Canis lupus familiaris: one gene and its partners. The protein of the gene in region 3 interacts with the protein of the main gene of each other region in a pairwise test. Links are inferred from orthologs where the notes say so. Each region holds a gene or a part of one and is shown on either strand. Other genes may lie near its edges.

What was found. The genes of interacting proteins can lie anywhere in the genome.
Region 1: the proteins of CCHCR1 (region 3) and TXLNA interact in binary tests that used the Homo sapiens proteins (3 or more experiments, as listed by UniProt). The link is inferred for Canis lupus familiaris from reciprocal best matches to the Homo sapiens genes CCHCR1 and TXLNA.
Region 2: the proteins of CCHCR1 (region 3) and HSBP1 interact in binary tests that used the Homo sapiens proteins (3 or more experiments, as listed by UniProt). The link is inferred for Canis lupus familiaris from reciprocal best matches to the Homo sapiens genes CCHCR1 and HSBP1.

Annotation. Positions count from the first base shown.
Region 1 is NC_049223.1:68,417,441-68,422,310, reverse strand, and holds the start of TXLNA (alpha-taxilin), read left to right. Parts: upstream 1-1,557; 5' UTR 1,558-1,706; intron 1,707-2,244; 5' UTR 2,245-2,276; coding exon 2,277-2,454; intron 2,455-3,087; coding exon 3,088-3,426; intron 3,427-4,870. UniProt on the Homo sapiens protein: May be involved in intracellular vesicle traffic and potentially in calcium-dependent exocytosis in neuroendocrine cells.
Region 2 is NC_049226.1:68,974,332-68,979,202, reverse strand, and holds the start of HSBP1 (heat shock factor-binding protein 1), read left to right. Parts: upstream 1-1,558; 5' UTR 1,559-1,678; coding exon 1,679-1,723; intron 1,724-2,060; coding exon 2,061-2,127; intron 2,128-2,658; coding exon 2,659-2,777; 3' UTR 2,778-2,779; intron 2,780-3,879; exon of another isoform or gene 3,880-4,083; intron 4,084-4,246; 3' UTR 4,247-4,871. UniProt on the Homo sapiens protein: Negative regulator of the heat shock response. Negatively affects HSF1 DNA-binding activity. May have a role in the suppression of the activation of the stress response during the aging process.
Region 3 is NC_049233.1:991,470-995,487, reverse strand, and holds the start of CCHCR1 (coiled-coil alpha-helical rod protein 1), read left to right. Parts: upstream 1-1,218; 5' UTR 1,219-1,684; coding exon 1,685-1,900; intron 1,901-2,095; exon of another isoform or gene 2,096-2,161; coding exon 2,162-2,228; intron 2,229-2,306; coding exon 2,307-2,520; intron 2,521-3,982; coding exon 3,983-4,018. UniProt on the Homo sapiens protein: May be a regulator of keratinocyte proliferation or differentiation.

The sequences.
Region 1 (4,870 bases), on a different chromosome or scaffold from region 3:
TTTTCTGGAAATAATCAGGGCCTTTGAAAGACCTGGATTCCAAGCATTTCTGGCTTGAGTTCCACCTTCATACTATATCATATTGCCTCTCAATGTTAGTTGATAAACAGCAGACTAAGGGATGGGGAAGAGCACTGGCCATAAGTCTAACTGGGGAAAATAATTGAACATCTTTAAGAGCCCCCACACTGTTCAATTTGCATGATTTCATTCTGTCTTCACTGCCCCAGACTGATGCTAGGCTTTAGGAATACAATTTAGCCAAGAGTTCTTGTAATGTTCATTGACTTGTAAGCAAATAATTTGAATATCTCATTACAAATGTTAAAGAGTTCTATCCAAAAAAAAAAAAAAAGGCTCTATCCAGACCTAGAGAGCTGGGACAGACTACAGAGCACTGGGAAGGGTCTGAAATGACCTTTGTGCTAGACCTCAAAATACTAGTTTTGCCAGAAGGGCATTTTGGAAACTGGACTAGCACCTGCAAAAAACTTGGAAATCCTGGAAATAGAGTATAGTGGGAGCAAAAAAGGCAAAGGGCATGGACAGAACTGACTGGAAACAAAAGCCAAGCCATTTACACATTAAATTCCAGGCACAGGGGTTGGTAGCTTTTATTCTATTATGTATAGACAGCTGAATATAGAACTGTGATCTCACATTTAGAGAAAGTTTGGGTTTTTCCCCTTGAGCCCATGGCAATTCCGATTTTGTCTGTAGAGGATGGGCCAGTCAGAGAAAATGTTCAGGAATTGGCTGAGGCCAAAGTTCTTGCAGAGCCCTGTCAACCCCTTCCAGAGAAGGACTCAAGCTGGTAACGCAGAGTTGGGGCGGGTGGGGGGAATAATTCCACCAAATTACCTTGACTCATCCTTTGAGAAAGTGCCATGGTGAATTTCTTCTGGGTACGAGTCAGGGTAATCCAGGAGGTAAAACGGAAGACTTTCTGATTTTGAATCCCTACTCACTACTCAATAGCGATGGGACAAGTTATTTAACTTTTGCCTTACTGTCCTCAGATGCAAATGGGAATAAAAAATAGTACTGAGCTTAGTAAATAGGCGGATTAAGCTAGTAGGTGGGAAAGCACACTGTAAGCAAAGAACTACTACTGTTATGAAAAGTTTTCATTTGAATACGGAAAATGAGGCCTGGGAAAGAAAAGAATGGCCCCTCAGCGAATTCGCGATGAAGTTAGAACTGGAATACAGGTCTTGATTCCCAGCCCAATGCTCTATCCCTTGTCATCAGAGTTCCTGGTCATAGATGTTCACAGCAGAGGGTTGAGGCTGGTAAGGGCGTGCGGGAAAGAACAGCCAGGCACAGGGCTCTGGACCTGAATCATAAATTCTGCACGACAGGAACCAGGCGGATTCCAGTATTCGTGCAGAATGACTAGCTCCTTTCAGACCTCCTGGGTATCCGCCTCCCAGGACTGAAGTCCTTTCTATTGCATCTTGGGAGTTGGGGGTCAGCCGCGGTGCATGGAGGGACATGTAGTCCTTTCCCTCCCCCTCCGCCTGCCCAACTCACCCGCCTCAAAGGCCGCCTCAGGCTGCCTTCGCTTCATCTTTCCCAGCAAGCCCCGCGAGAGCGCCGGCTATTGATTGGCTGTGGCAGGAGCAGGCGGCTTGGCCGGCAGCGGTTACCCAGGGTTTCCGGTGCGAGGCCAGAGCGGGCGAAGCCGTCAGGAGGTCGGCAGTGAGGTGCGTGTTGCGGAGGTTTGGGGGGAACAAGGCGACCAGCAGGTCGGTGGGCCTGAACACTCTCGGTCGGTGGAGGGAATCACGCCGATTCCGCGCGAGGGAGTGGGCTGGGGGGGGCAGGGCTGGTCCTGTGCGCATGCGCGGACGGGAGGCGCGCGGGGCGTGGGTGGCTGCGCGCGGGGGGGCCCACGTGGGGCTTGGGGGCCGGAGGAGGGATGGGAATCGAGCGTCCCGCCACGTCAGTCTCCGGCCCTGAGCCTATCCCGCGCTCGGCCTGTGGTAAGGGGGCTGTGTAGTGCCGGGAAGCGGCTTCGAGAAAAAGGAGGCCTCGCCTGCCGCGCTTCTGAAGCAGCGCCCCGAAAACCTGCCTGGGCGCGCCGTGCTCCTCCGACTGGCCAGAGAGAGAACCGTTGGCTCCCTCTGGTGAGGGACGGCCAGTGTGTCCTAAGAAGCTTTGTGCACCCGGGATTGGGATTTCGGATCCAGGCTGTGAAGAATTTTGAAGTCTGGAATATAGCGAGTGTGCTTGTTTCTATAGGATCTGTTTCCAGCCTAGCATTGCAAACCACAATGAAGAACCAAGACAAAAAGAACGGGGCTGCCAAGCAGTCGGGCAACACTTCCAACCCAAAAAGCAACCCGGGGCAAGCCGAAGTAGGACCAGAGGGAACCCAGGGGCGCCCCAGCCAGCCGGCTCCTGCGACAGAAGCTGAAGGTTCCTCCAGCCAGGCTCCAGGGAAGACTGAGGGTGTGTGCCATTTCTGCTTTCCAGCGGGCAGGGGGAGGAGTTTGTGGTGCGCCAGGATAGCTTCTGGAGTTCCAGGCCTAGGCCACTGTTTACCCAGGAAGGAGGAAATGTAGAATGAGAGGAGGACTGCCACCCGCAGATCCCTCTTTCCCCAGGGTGTTGATAGAGCCTCCCACTCAAAGCACAGGAGCAGAACTCTTAAGAGAAGGCTCTGACAGGGTTAAGTCAGGTGGCGCTCAGATGAGACACCCAACCAGCTAGCCCGGCTTAGAAATGCTGCATTCACCAGTGGGCAACTACTCTTCATGTTGGAGGCTTTCTTAGAACTTTTTTAATAGCAAGAAATGATTTTTGCAGGGAGGGGAAAGGGAGGGACTAGATGTTGAGCTCCAGGTACATGCCATCCCTATATGCTGGATGCTTTATTTCCTTGATTCCTTTCACATCTATAACAGACATGATTGGGCAATAGTGGGAAATAATCTTATTTTATGGGTAAATAAACTAAGGCTTAAAGAAAGTAGGCAACATTTAGCCCCAACCAGTAAGTTTGGGCCTGAAAAATCCCAGCAAATGGAATTAACCATCTTGTTTCTCATTTCTCATTCTGCCGCTCATCTTGCCCTGCCACAGGAGCACAAGCCAAAACTGCTCAGTCCGGGGCCCTCCGTGATGTCTCTGAGGAGCTGAGCCGCCAGTTGGAAGACATCCTGAGTACATACTGTGTGGACAACAATCAGGGGGGCCCAGGTGAGGATGGGGCACAGGGTGAGCCTGCTGAACCCGAAGATGCAGACAAGTCCCGGACCTATGCTTCAAGGAATGGGGAGCCTGAGCCAGAGACCCCAGTGGTCAATGGTGAGAAGGAGACCTCCAAGGGGGAGCCGGGCACAGATGAGATCCGGACCAGTGACGAGGTTGGAGACCGAGATCACCGAAGGCCACAGGAGAAGAAGAAAGCCAAGGGTCTGGGTGAGCAGAGGGCAGCTACTGGTGAGGTGGGGATGTTTGGGCTAACCTGCTGTCCCAGGATTCAGAGGAAATTACTTTCTGGAGCACCGAGTCACATTAGTTTGATCCAAGCAAGGGGTGTGGACCGTAGAACAGAGGGGTGTAGATGGGATCCTGTGTCAGCCAACACTATCTCTAACCTGCTCTGTAAACTTGGGCAAGACCTTTCTCCTTTCTGTTCCTTAGTTTTCGTTTCTCTACAGTAAGATTTGGACTAGCCCAGGGTTGAAAACACAAATAAGCCAAGTTAGACAGGGGACCCTAGGAGGACAAGACATTGCCTACTTCATCCAAAGGGGTGATTGCCATCTGGTCCCACCATGCTGATAGCATATAATACTACAGGCTAAGTGTAGCCAGCCTTTTTTTTTTTTTCCCCCCCTCATTCTTTTTTCTCCTTTTTTCCCCTTTGTTATTATGCAGTTAAGTGAAATCTCTCTGGATTTTTAACAATTGGCAACTGAAGAAAAAAAAAAAAAAAACAATTGACAACTAATATGCTGGGAGCCAAACAAAACTCGTGTGGGTTTTGGCCTACGTGCTAGTGCTTTGCAGTCTCCACACTGATCTTTCGAGCCTCTTGGGTTTGACACTTCAGGAGCCTGGTGCTGTGCTATGTACAGGAGCCCTCCAGGGAGACAGAAGGAAGCCCCTTTGACTGAAGCACAGTGAGAGAAAGTTATTGGGGGCAGGGGACTAGTGTGTATGTTAAAGAATCAGAGTTAAGTGATATTATACCTGTGTCTTAGTCCTTAATTCCCCACCCTCTGTTTGTCATCCTAATGGAAAGGGTTTTTTTTGTTTGTTTTTGGTTTTATTTTGTTTTGTTTTTTAAGATTTTATTTATTTACTCATGAGAAACACAGAGAGAGAGGCAGAGACACAGGCAGAGGGAGAAGCAGGCACCATGCAGGGAGCCCGATGCGGGACTCGATCCAGGGGACTCCAGGATCACTCCCTGAGCCAAAGGCAGACGCTCAGCTGCTGAGCTGCTAAGCCACCCAGGCATCCCTGTTGTTTATTAATCTTGGGATCACATATCGGAAGATATATTTGTTTAAAAGTTCACTGTTTAGGAGGGAACAAATAAAGTTCACTCTTTGGCTACCACTGTTGACAAATGTTTAGTAGTTACCGAGGAAACCTATTCCTTTTTGCCTCCTTCCTCTTTCGAAAGGGCTTTCCTTGCATTGACACAGTAGCACTTAAATTGGCCATTGGGATGTCTTTTTTTTTCCTCCTGCTATTAGAGCAGGCAGGTTTTTTCTCCCACTCTCAGTGTTCACCATGGAGTCTCCACATAGACTCAGTTATTAGTCTATTAAGCATTTGTTGAGCATGTCGTCTGAGATGGGCACCAAAGACAATATGGAGCAGCACTGGGGCCACAGTAATAGGCTGAGTT
Region 2 (4,871 bases), on a different chromosome or scaffold from region 3:
CTTTACCAACTGCTTTGGGTTGAGTCTCCCCACCAAAAAGACATGTTGGAACCTGCCCCCTAGTACCTCAGAACATAATTTATTTGGAAACAGAGTCTCTGCAGATATAAAAACCTAAGAGGAGGTCATATGGGAGTAGGGTCGGTCCCAAATCCAACATGACTGGTGACCTTATATAGAGAGAGATACACACACGGGGAGAAGGCCACATGAAGACAGAGGCAGAGATGGGCGGAATGCATCTGCGAGCTAAGGACACCAAGATTTGCCAGCAGCCATCAGAAGCTAGGAGAAAGGCATGGAACAACTTGTACCTCACAGCCCTCAGAAGGAACCCACCCCGATGGCACCTTGATTCCAGACTCCTGGTCTCCAGAACTGTGGGAATATAAATGTCTATTGTTTTAAGCCACCCAGTTTGTGGTACTCTGTCGCAGCTGCCCCAGGAAACTAATGCCCGTGTCAATATATAAGGAGGAAAATTCCCAAGAAATGCCCCAATCGAAAATAAATTCATACTTGAAGACTGAGTCAACAGAATTCTATGCAGCGTCTGTAGATTCTTCTAAAGCTACTGGTTCTCCACTGAGGATGACGACCTCCCCACCCCCCCAATTCGTGCAGACAGTGGGCAGTATCTAGGGATCTTTTTGGTCGTCACACTGCATGGGGGGTGAGGGGGGTGCCACTGGCATCTGGTGGGAAGAAGTGAGAGAAGCTGCTCAGCATCCTACAAAGTGCTGGGCCCAGTGCACCCCCCACCAGCAACTCGAGGTCCCAGCTCAGCAGCACCCCTCCTTAAACACCTAAGTCCACTCTCTGGACCCTGCAGCTGACCTCCCCTTGCCCAAACCAGAGACCTTCCCCACTGCACACCCCCGACCCTCGAACCTCGTGTTGCACGAAAGAAGCCGGCGCTCGGGAGGCGCTCATTCCATTTACACCAAGTGGAAACACAGCAAAACAAACGATCGTGTTAAAACCGAGGACACTGGTGGCCCCGGTGGGTGGGTTGGGGGGGGGGGGGGGTTGGAAAGAAGCTGACGGGCTCCCCTGGAGGCTGGGGGTGATTCTTGACCTGGAGAGTTGGCTAACACCAGCTGAGGTGGACTGAGGATGTCTACACCACCCAGACATATGCTACACTTAAATCAAAAGTTAAAAACCACCTGCCCCCTGCGCCGGCACCTCCACGGACGTCGTGGGATCAGGGCCGTGACCGGACCTGCAGCCGGGCAGCTGGGCACGCGGGGCGCGCGCCTCTCACACGCGGCCTCAGTGTCCCCTCCGGTGACCCGACCCCTGCTCCCTCCCGCGGGTTTGCGGGGCTCTGTCGGAGCACAGGCGGCGGCGCAGGCCAGGCCACCGGCCGCTGCAGCCGACCCCGCGGCAGGGCGGGTCCCCTCCGCTCTCCGCCGCGGCTCGGCGAGGGGCGGGGCCTCCGGGGGGCGGGGCCAGGCCGGGCGAGAGGGTGGGGGCGGGCCCCGCGCGGAACGGGAACGCGAGAGCACAGGCCCTTCCGGCGTGTGCCGCGAACTACGACTCCCACAGCACCCTGCGGTCCCGCGGCTGGCCTCCGGCGTCGCGAGAGGAGGCCGCTGGGGGGCGGGGCGTGCGCGCGGACGGACGGAAGTGCAGGTGACGGTTGAGCTTCGCCGCCAAGCTGGGAACCGGGGAGATGGCCGAGACGGACCCCAAGACCGTGCAGGATCTCACCTCGGTGGTAAGGGACGCCCGTGGGGCCCGAGGCGCGCTGTCGGCGGCCGCGACGGCCCGCGTGTCCGGAGGCGCCGCGGGCCCAGCCTGCAGCCCCAGCCGCGCTCGCCCGACCCGGGCCGCCGCCGCCCGCGCGCCCAGCGCACACCCGAGCGAGCCGTGAGTCGCGGCAGCCGCCACGGGAGGGGGCCTCGCCGGGGCCCGGGGCGGGGCGGGGGCGGGGGCCGGAGCCGGAGCCGGAGCCGGGGCGGTCAGGGCGACCCCAGCTGGACGCCGCCCCGCCCCGCCCCGCGCGAGGGCCCCGGCGAGCGCCAGGTGCTCCGTGTCGCGTCTCCCCGTCTCAGGTGCAGACACTCCTGCAGCAGATGCAAGATAAATTTCAGACCATGTCCGACCAGATCATCGGAAGAAATATCCTTTGTATGTGTGGTCAGCCTCTGCGGGCCCCTGGCACCTGTGGCCCGGGCAGCGGTGTTGATAGGTGGTTGCAGGCCCGCTGCAGGCAGCCATGGGCCACGTACAAGTATGAGTAGTATTGTTAGTATTATTGTAACTGAGCCTGGGTGTGGTGCTCTGGCGGTTCTGTGCCAGGAGCTGAGGGCCCCCGAGCTGGCCCCCCGGCCCCCAGACGCCTCCAGTCGGCCGGCCGTGGCCTCGGGAGTGGCCGCGGGCCGTGAGCTGCGCGCTGGGTGCGGATCTCTGCTCCGGGCCCCGCCGCCACCTGATGAAGAAGTTGTAGGGGCGGCAGCTTAGGAAAGTGGAGGAGCTCGTCCAGGTCCCAGGACCCGTAAAGGGCCCCCGACTCCTTCACCGCCAGAATTTAGCCGTACTCCAAGGGAAGCCCAGTTTGGCTGAGACGGTTGTGTTTAAGGTCCCGGTGTCCCCAGCTCGGGAGCGAAAGGATGAGCAATGGCAGGTGTGTGTGGCCTTTAACTTCTCCACTTGATGACATGAGCAGTCGCATTGACGACCTGGAAAAAAACATTGCAGACCTCATGACCCAGGCTGGGGTGGAAGAGCTGGAGGGGGAGAACAAGATCCCTGCCACACCGAAGAGCTGAAGGTGAGGGGGTCGGCTGTCCCCGTCGGGCTGTCCCCGTCCGGGGCCTGCCACTGCAGTTAAGGAGGCCGGGCGTCCTCTCCATCAGCCCCCAGCCGGATCCCAGCAGGCGTCTCTCTGATTCTCCTGGCCTTTATTAAGTGGACCTATGTCCTTAGTAGTTAAGATGACTGGTTAACAGGCAGTCACTGAGTTTATGTCATTGCAGGCAAATACCAAGAAATGTGTTTTGTTGGCCTGAGAATTCTTACCACTGGCAGATTTATTTATTTATTTGTCTGTTTGTTTATTTTTTGTGACCAAAACCCCATATTGCCACCTTCAACTTCATAAGTGCCTTGAGTTCTGGGTTCTCCTGGGAACTCCCCCTGCGCTAGATAAATGACAGGACAACGCCTGATTATGACTCGAATGGATGAAGTTAGGCCGCAGTGAGCCTTCACCCGAGAGCCGCCTGGGGGCTCAGTCTGTTCAGCATCTACTTTCTGCTCAGGTCATGATCTCAGGCTCCTGGGATCGAGCCCCATGTCCAACTCCCTGCTCATGGGGAGTCGGCTTCACCCTCTCCCTCTGCCACTCTCTGTCCCTCAAGTAAATAAATCTTAATTTCCACTACATAGTTCCCAATATCTGATGAAAGACAGATAATCAACAATAGCCACATAGCGAGACAGCAAGATGTTGTGGGCCTCCGTAGTCTCCCCATGGTAGGTTTCTTCCTTATGAGCCTCTTCAGGAGTATGGTGGTTACCTCGCCGCAACCTAGAACTAATTTTGAAACTACCGTTTCTCTCATCCCATTTTTAGCATTTTAATTCCCTATAAAAACAAAGTTTACTGAGAATTTTTAGACCACTCTAGTACCAAGCAGAACATACAGTAAAAGGCACCAAATTCCTTTTTCAAAAGTTCTGGGCATGTCCTGGCTGAACCAGATTAGAAGTAGCTGTGGCATACAGGTCACTTTGAAGTCCAAGAAGAGACAGACTTGGGAGCGAAAAGACTTGGAAATTCACTGTCATTTTAACAAGAGATTGGGTTGACTCGCTGTGTGAGTAAATCACACACTTGTTATGTGTGGGTTGTCCTCTTTATTCCTGTAGAGAGATGATATGGAAAATGTCCTGCCAGCCTTAGAAGCTTCTCTGGGTCTCCTACCACCACATGGCGGTCAAAAGTCCCGTCAAGTGAGTGAGAACATCTGTGGAGAACTGCAGGATGGAGACTTTTCGAGTGACAGGGGTGATCAAGAGGAAGAGTTGCTGGGAATGGATTCAGAAGTTTTCAAATAAAGATTTCCAATTAAATCTGTTGTGATATCTTTGCTGGGGCATCGTGCAAAGGAAGTACATCATATGTCTAGTTCAGTAGAGGATTCTGGAAAGCTTTTTACCATTTGACAGTGGTACATGTCCATCTTCTCTGTCCTGGTGGGAGCATAATGTGTTGATGGTTTTTCTTTTCCAACAGGCAGCTAATTCACACTGAAGTCCGGAACAGCATTTTTACAAGCCGACAGAAGACCGAATGGCTTTCTGAAGCAACTGCTATGTGTAGACAGATTTTCTATTCTGAAGTGTGCGTTCTTCTTACAACATACTGTATAGTTAGTCTATATAGAGTGATCCTCTCCCCCAGTTTCTTGAACATGGTAATTCCACATCTTGGATCTTGGTCAGTCGTGCTGTTAAATATTAAACACTAAAACTTTGGCGGTTCCTGCATAAAATTGTCAAATTTTTTAGTGTATTTTTGTGAAGTCATTGTTTTCTATCATTCCTTTTGTAGTAGTTACTGTTTGATGAAAGTTGCTGTGTAATTTTTTATAGACATCTGGTAGACTCTTCAGTTATAATTAGATTTTGTGAAGTAAGACATTTGGCAAGTTGAGGGTTCTTTAATTCTCAGCACAGAGTGTTGAGCCAACACCAAATAGCATGTTGGTGATGCTTTTCAAATGGTTAAAAACATTTAAAAATTGGTGATTGAGAAATCTCTGGCACTACCCTGTTGCCAAAACTGAACACTGACCTGCAGGGTCATATCCCAAGTCCCTGAGGCCAGAGGCTAAAACACTGACGAGGAACCACTGCCA
Region 3 (4,018 bases):
GTGGTAAAACTCAGAGGAGAACCCAGGCCTGAGTAGTGCAACTTCAGAGTGCAGGGCGCCTAGGCACGGGATACAAACAAAACTGTCAAGCAGCTTTGCAACCGAAGAATTCGGGGAAGGTCCCAGTGCAGCGCAGAGAGGAACACGTCCTGTGGCACCTTGGTGGAGCCGGATCCTCAGGCTGCCCCAGGTATTCAGGAGACTCAATCTGTGCAAGGCAACAACACATTAGGCGCCTCCCAGGGAAATGCAGTCTGTAGATGGGTGTATGGGATTCCTGCTCTGTACCACACTACCTTGTCACCTCTGTAATTTGTAGAAAAGAAGCTTCCTATCAGACTTGCTTATCCAAATCGAGTAACCGTCCTGCTCGCCCGCGCCGCCTCGCCCTTCAGGCCAATCCCTCTCACAACCAGTTCCCTTTAACCCCAGCGGGAGGCGAATCCACTGTCCCCCAACAGACAGTGAAGACGGTCCCTCGGTTCTCCAGCAAAGCGAAGCTAAGCCCCGGCTTCCCGGCTTCTCCGGGCGCGGCGCAAAGGGGAAGGGGCTCCCGCGGTCAGGCAGGGCCGCCCCAGGCCTTCCCTCCCGTGCCCGGCCTGGTGCCCACCTACCGCGAGCAGCCTCCACGTGCCGTCCCCCGCAGGCAGTGCCCGAGCTCGCGCGCGGCCGCCGGGTGACAGCGGGGAGGCCGGGGGGGGGGGGGGGGGCGTGGCCTCCGCGCGCGGGCAGCGCCTGGCCCGCCTTCCGAGTTCCCGGGCCCGAGCTCGGAGCGACGAGCCCCCACCGGCCCTCCTGGTTGGCCGCTTCCGTTGCCCCCCGCCGCTCCATTGGCCGGCGCTCTGGAGAGCTCCGATTTCCCGCCTTCCGCCTCTCCTGATTAGTTCTCCTGTTTTCCCGGGTTCCCGGAGTTGGGAGGGGCCGCGGGCGCGCGGAGGCGTCCCCCACGGCCTGGGGCCTGGGGCCTGGGGCCTGGGGCCTGGGGCCTGGCTTTAGACCCCACTGCGCCTGCGTGCCCTTCCCCTCCCCCCCTCCCCCGGCGGCCCGCCGAGCCGCCCGCTCTGCGCAGGCGCGGTGGCCGCGCCCGGGGCGAGGGCCAGGGGTGGTGGCTGGAGGGCGGAGGGCGGAGGGCCTCGCGCTCGGTAAGGGGCGTTCGGGAAGAGTCGGTTGGGGGGCGGGAAGGGGCCGACAGGGGGTTCGGGGTGGGCTCAGGGGTCCATAGGGGAAGAGGGGCACAGGGACCAGGGGAAGGAGCAGATGAAGTGGTCCCAACGGCCTTAGAGCCCCGGGTCCAGCAGGGGAAGGCTCGGGTATCGGGGGAGACGCGGGAGTGGAAAGAGCTGGGAGCCTGCAGGCGTGCAGTTGGGAGGGGATGCGGCCGTGAGGGACCAGAGTAACGCTTTCAGGAAGGAGCAGATGAGGCTGTAGGGAGGGTGATAGGAATCCCAGGCAGGGAGACTAGGTGCGTTCTGGTGGGAGGGTAGGGAGACCTTGAAAAGACCTCTCGTGTTCTGGACCCCGGAGAGAGGACGGTAGGCGGCAGGAATGGCAGCTGAGGGCATAGAAGAGGGAAACTGAGGACAGCGGCCGGAAGGCTCTGGATGAGATGTCAGGAAATTGTTTTTTCGGCCAAGGGGTCTAGGCTGCCTGTTCCCAGGGGACCTGGGCAGGTGTCCTGCCCTACATGTGGCCACATTCATCTGGGCCCAGGCCTTGGGCCAGTGCTTTAATAGGGAAGGACCCAGGAGTCATGGCTTGGTGGTGTCTGGATGGGCTTCCAGAAGGCCTTGCTGAGCCATGGAGAAAACTCTGGAGATTGGGCTCACAGCCCCTGCACTGCGTACCTCCTTTCTCACCTCCGGCAAGGAAAGGCAGAGGCCGTAGAAACTTAAAGAAGAGGGTAAAGGCTTCCCAGAATTCTAAAAGTAGGAGTAAAGTCTAAGAGCTTCCTCTCGGCCTGCCTTAATTACCTCCATCTCATGGTTATTGCCATAGTTCTTCTATCAGGAACCAGGTTGGGTCAAGCAAGTGATCTTCGGGTATTTCCTACTTCTCTTGCGAAGTTACTAAAGGATTATGACTTTTGTTATTGTAGGGGCTTTCTCTTTGGAAGGTGGCCTGAAAATTGAACTGGGGTGTCCTTGTTTCTCCTATTGTCCAGGGAAACATAGATGGCTGGACACAGAATCTAGAGACTTCAGATAATGTGGAGATGTTTCAACCTTCAGGTCAGTGGGCCCAGGCAAGGGGACTGGTGATTGCCTTTCCTTAGAAAACTGACCATCTGTGTCCTTGTGATTCCTCAGGTTCCACTGGGTTGATTCCCCCATCCCACTTCCAAGCTCATCCCCTTCCAACTGTACCAAGAATGGCTCCCACCTGGGTTTCAGACATTCCCCTGGTCCAAACCTCAGCCCATCAAGATGTCTCAGAGAGGCGGCCAGACAACCAGAGACCTCAAGTGATCACGTGGGAACAGGATGTTTCTGGCAATGGGCAGGAGCTGGGGCGGAGAGGCAGGTAGGGATTCATTGTTGCTCTTTTCTTGGGCTTGCTTGCCAGTGACCCTTTTTCACTGAAATAGATTCCTTACCCTGTTTCAGCCCTTAGTTCCCTAACTTGTGCATTTTTGCATAAGCAACTCCTGGAGCTTAAGGATAAAGGATAAGGCATAAAGGATAAGGCAATGTGCTCGATGCTACAAATGGGGATAATGAAAATGAATGAGATCCTGATAGCAATGATTTAAAAGCCCTAAGGGAAGAGGTAGATTGACCAGCAGCTGATAGCAATGAGCAACATATAGGGTGAGAGAAAGAAGTACAAACCAGGAGTATAGGCTGTACTGTGGTAGCGTGGATTCTGATGGAGGACTTGCCTTTAGAGCTGACCGTGCTATTTGCCAATGTTTTTCTATAAAAATTGTGATTCTTACTCTTGATGTTTCGTCATGTGTCTCTTCTCAAATGTACTGGAATGTCATTCTGCCATTTTGCTCTAGAGTGGGGCTGCAGATGGGTCTGCCTTGGACCCCGTCCAAGAGAAAGGAGCATGATGATGAAAAGGGGAGAGCCCCAGAGTGGGTGTCAGGAGACAGAGACTCTGATGCTAGTTTGGCTACCAACTAGGGTCCTTTGGCCAGTTAATATCTCTAGGCTGTAGGGACGCCTGGGTGGCTCAGTGGTTAAGTGTCTGCCTTTGGCTCAGGGCATGATCCTGGAGTCCCAGGATCGAGTCCCACATCAGGCTCCCTGCATGGAGCCTGCTTCTTCTGCCTGTGTCTCTACATCTGTCTCTCCGTGTCTCTCATGAATAAATAAAATCTTAAAAAAAAAAAAATATCTCTAGGCTGTAGATCCCCACCATTTTAAAAGAAAAATCCTGTGGTTCTGGGCCTCAGTGGAGGAGGTGTGTCAAGATCCATGTTATCGTAAGCTCGTTTAAACTTTACAAGACACCAGTGGTCTATGTAACTTATTAATGTGCTGTCGACTCCTGGATACAGGATAGATACAGGATATCTAACACTCAATAAAGGCTTTTAATTAGTGCCTGGTCTCACTGTATTGATACTAGAAGCCATGATGACCTGTCTTTCTCTGAAACTTCCTCCAACTTTTCCTTACCCTTAAATCAGAATTCAGAAGTCTCTGGGTGTCTTCCAATCTCTATTTCAGAATGTGGGGCCTAATGATGTGCGTGTTTGATGCATCTGCCTGTATGTAGTTCAAAAGAGATCATGTTCCGTGAACTCAAGTAGCCTTTAGGTCCTGTGAGTGCCACTAGTGAGCCTAATATGCTTAGGACTGCCATGATAAATGACAGTGATGATGCAAATGCAGAGATTCCCCTGGCCCACCTTCATCCTCCCTCCCCCCATCTCCTCATACAGTAGCAGAAGGATCCTCCTCCTCTCTCTGTTTGTGACCTCCACCACCCTCCCAGCACCAGACAGGTCTCACCTGTGCTAACCTCTTTGAAGGTCTGTGGAGATAGAGGGGTCACAGGCCCTGAGCCA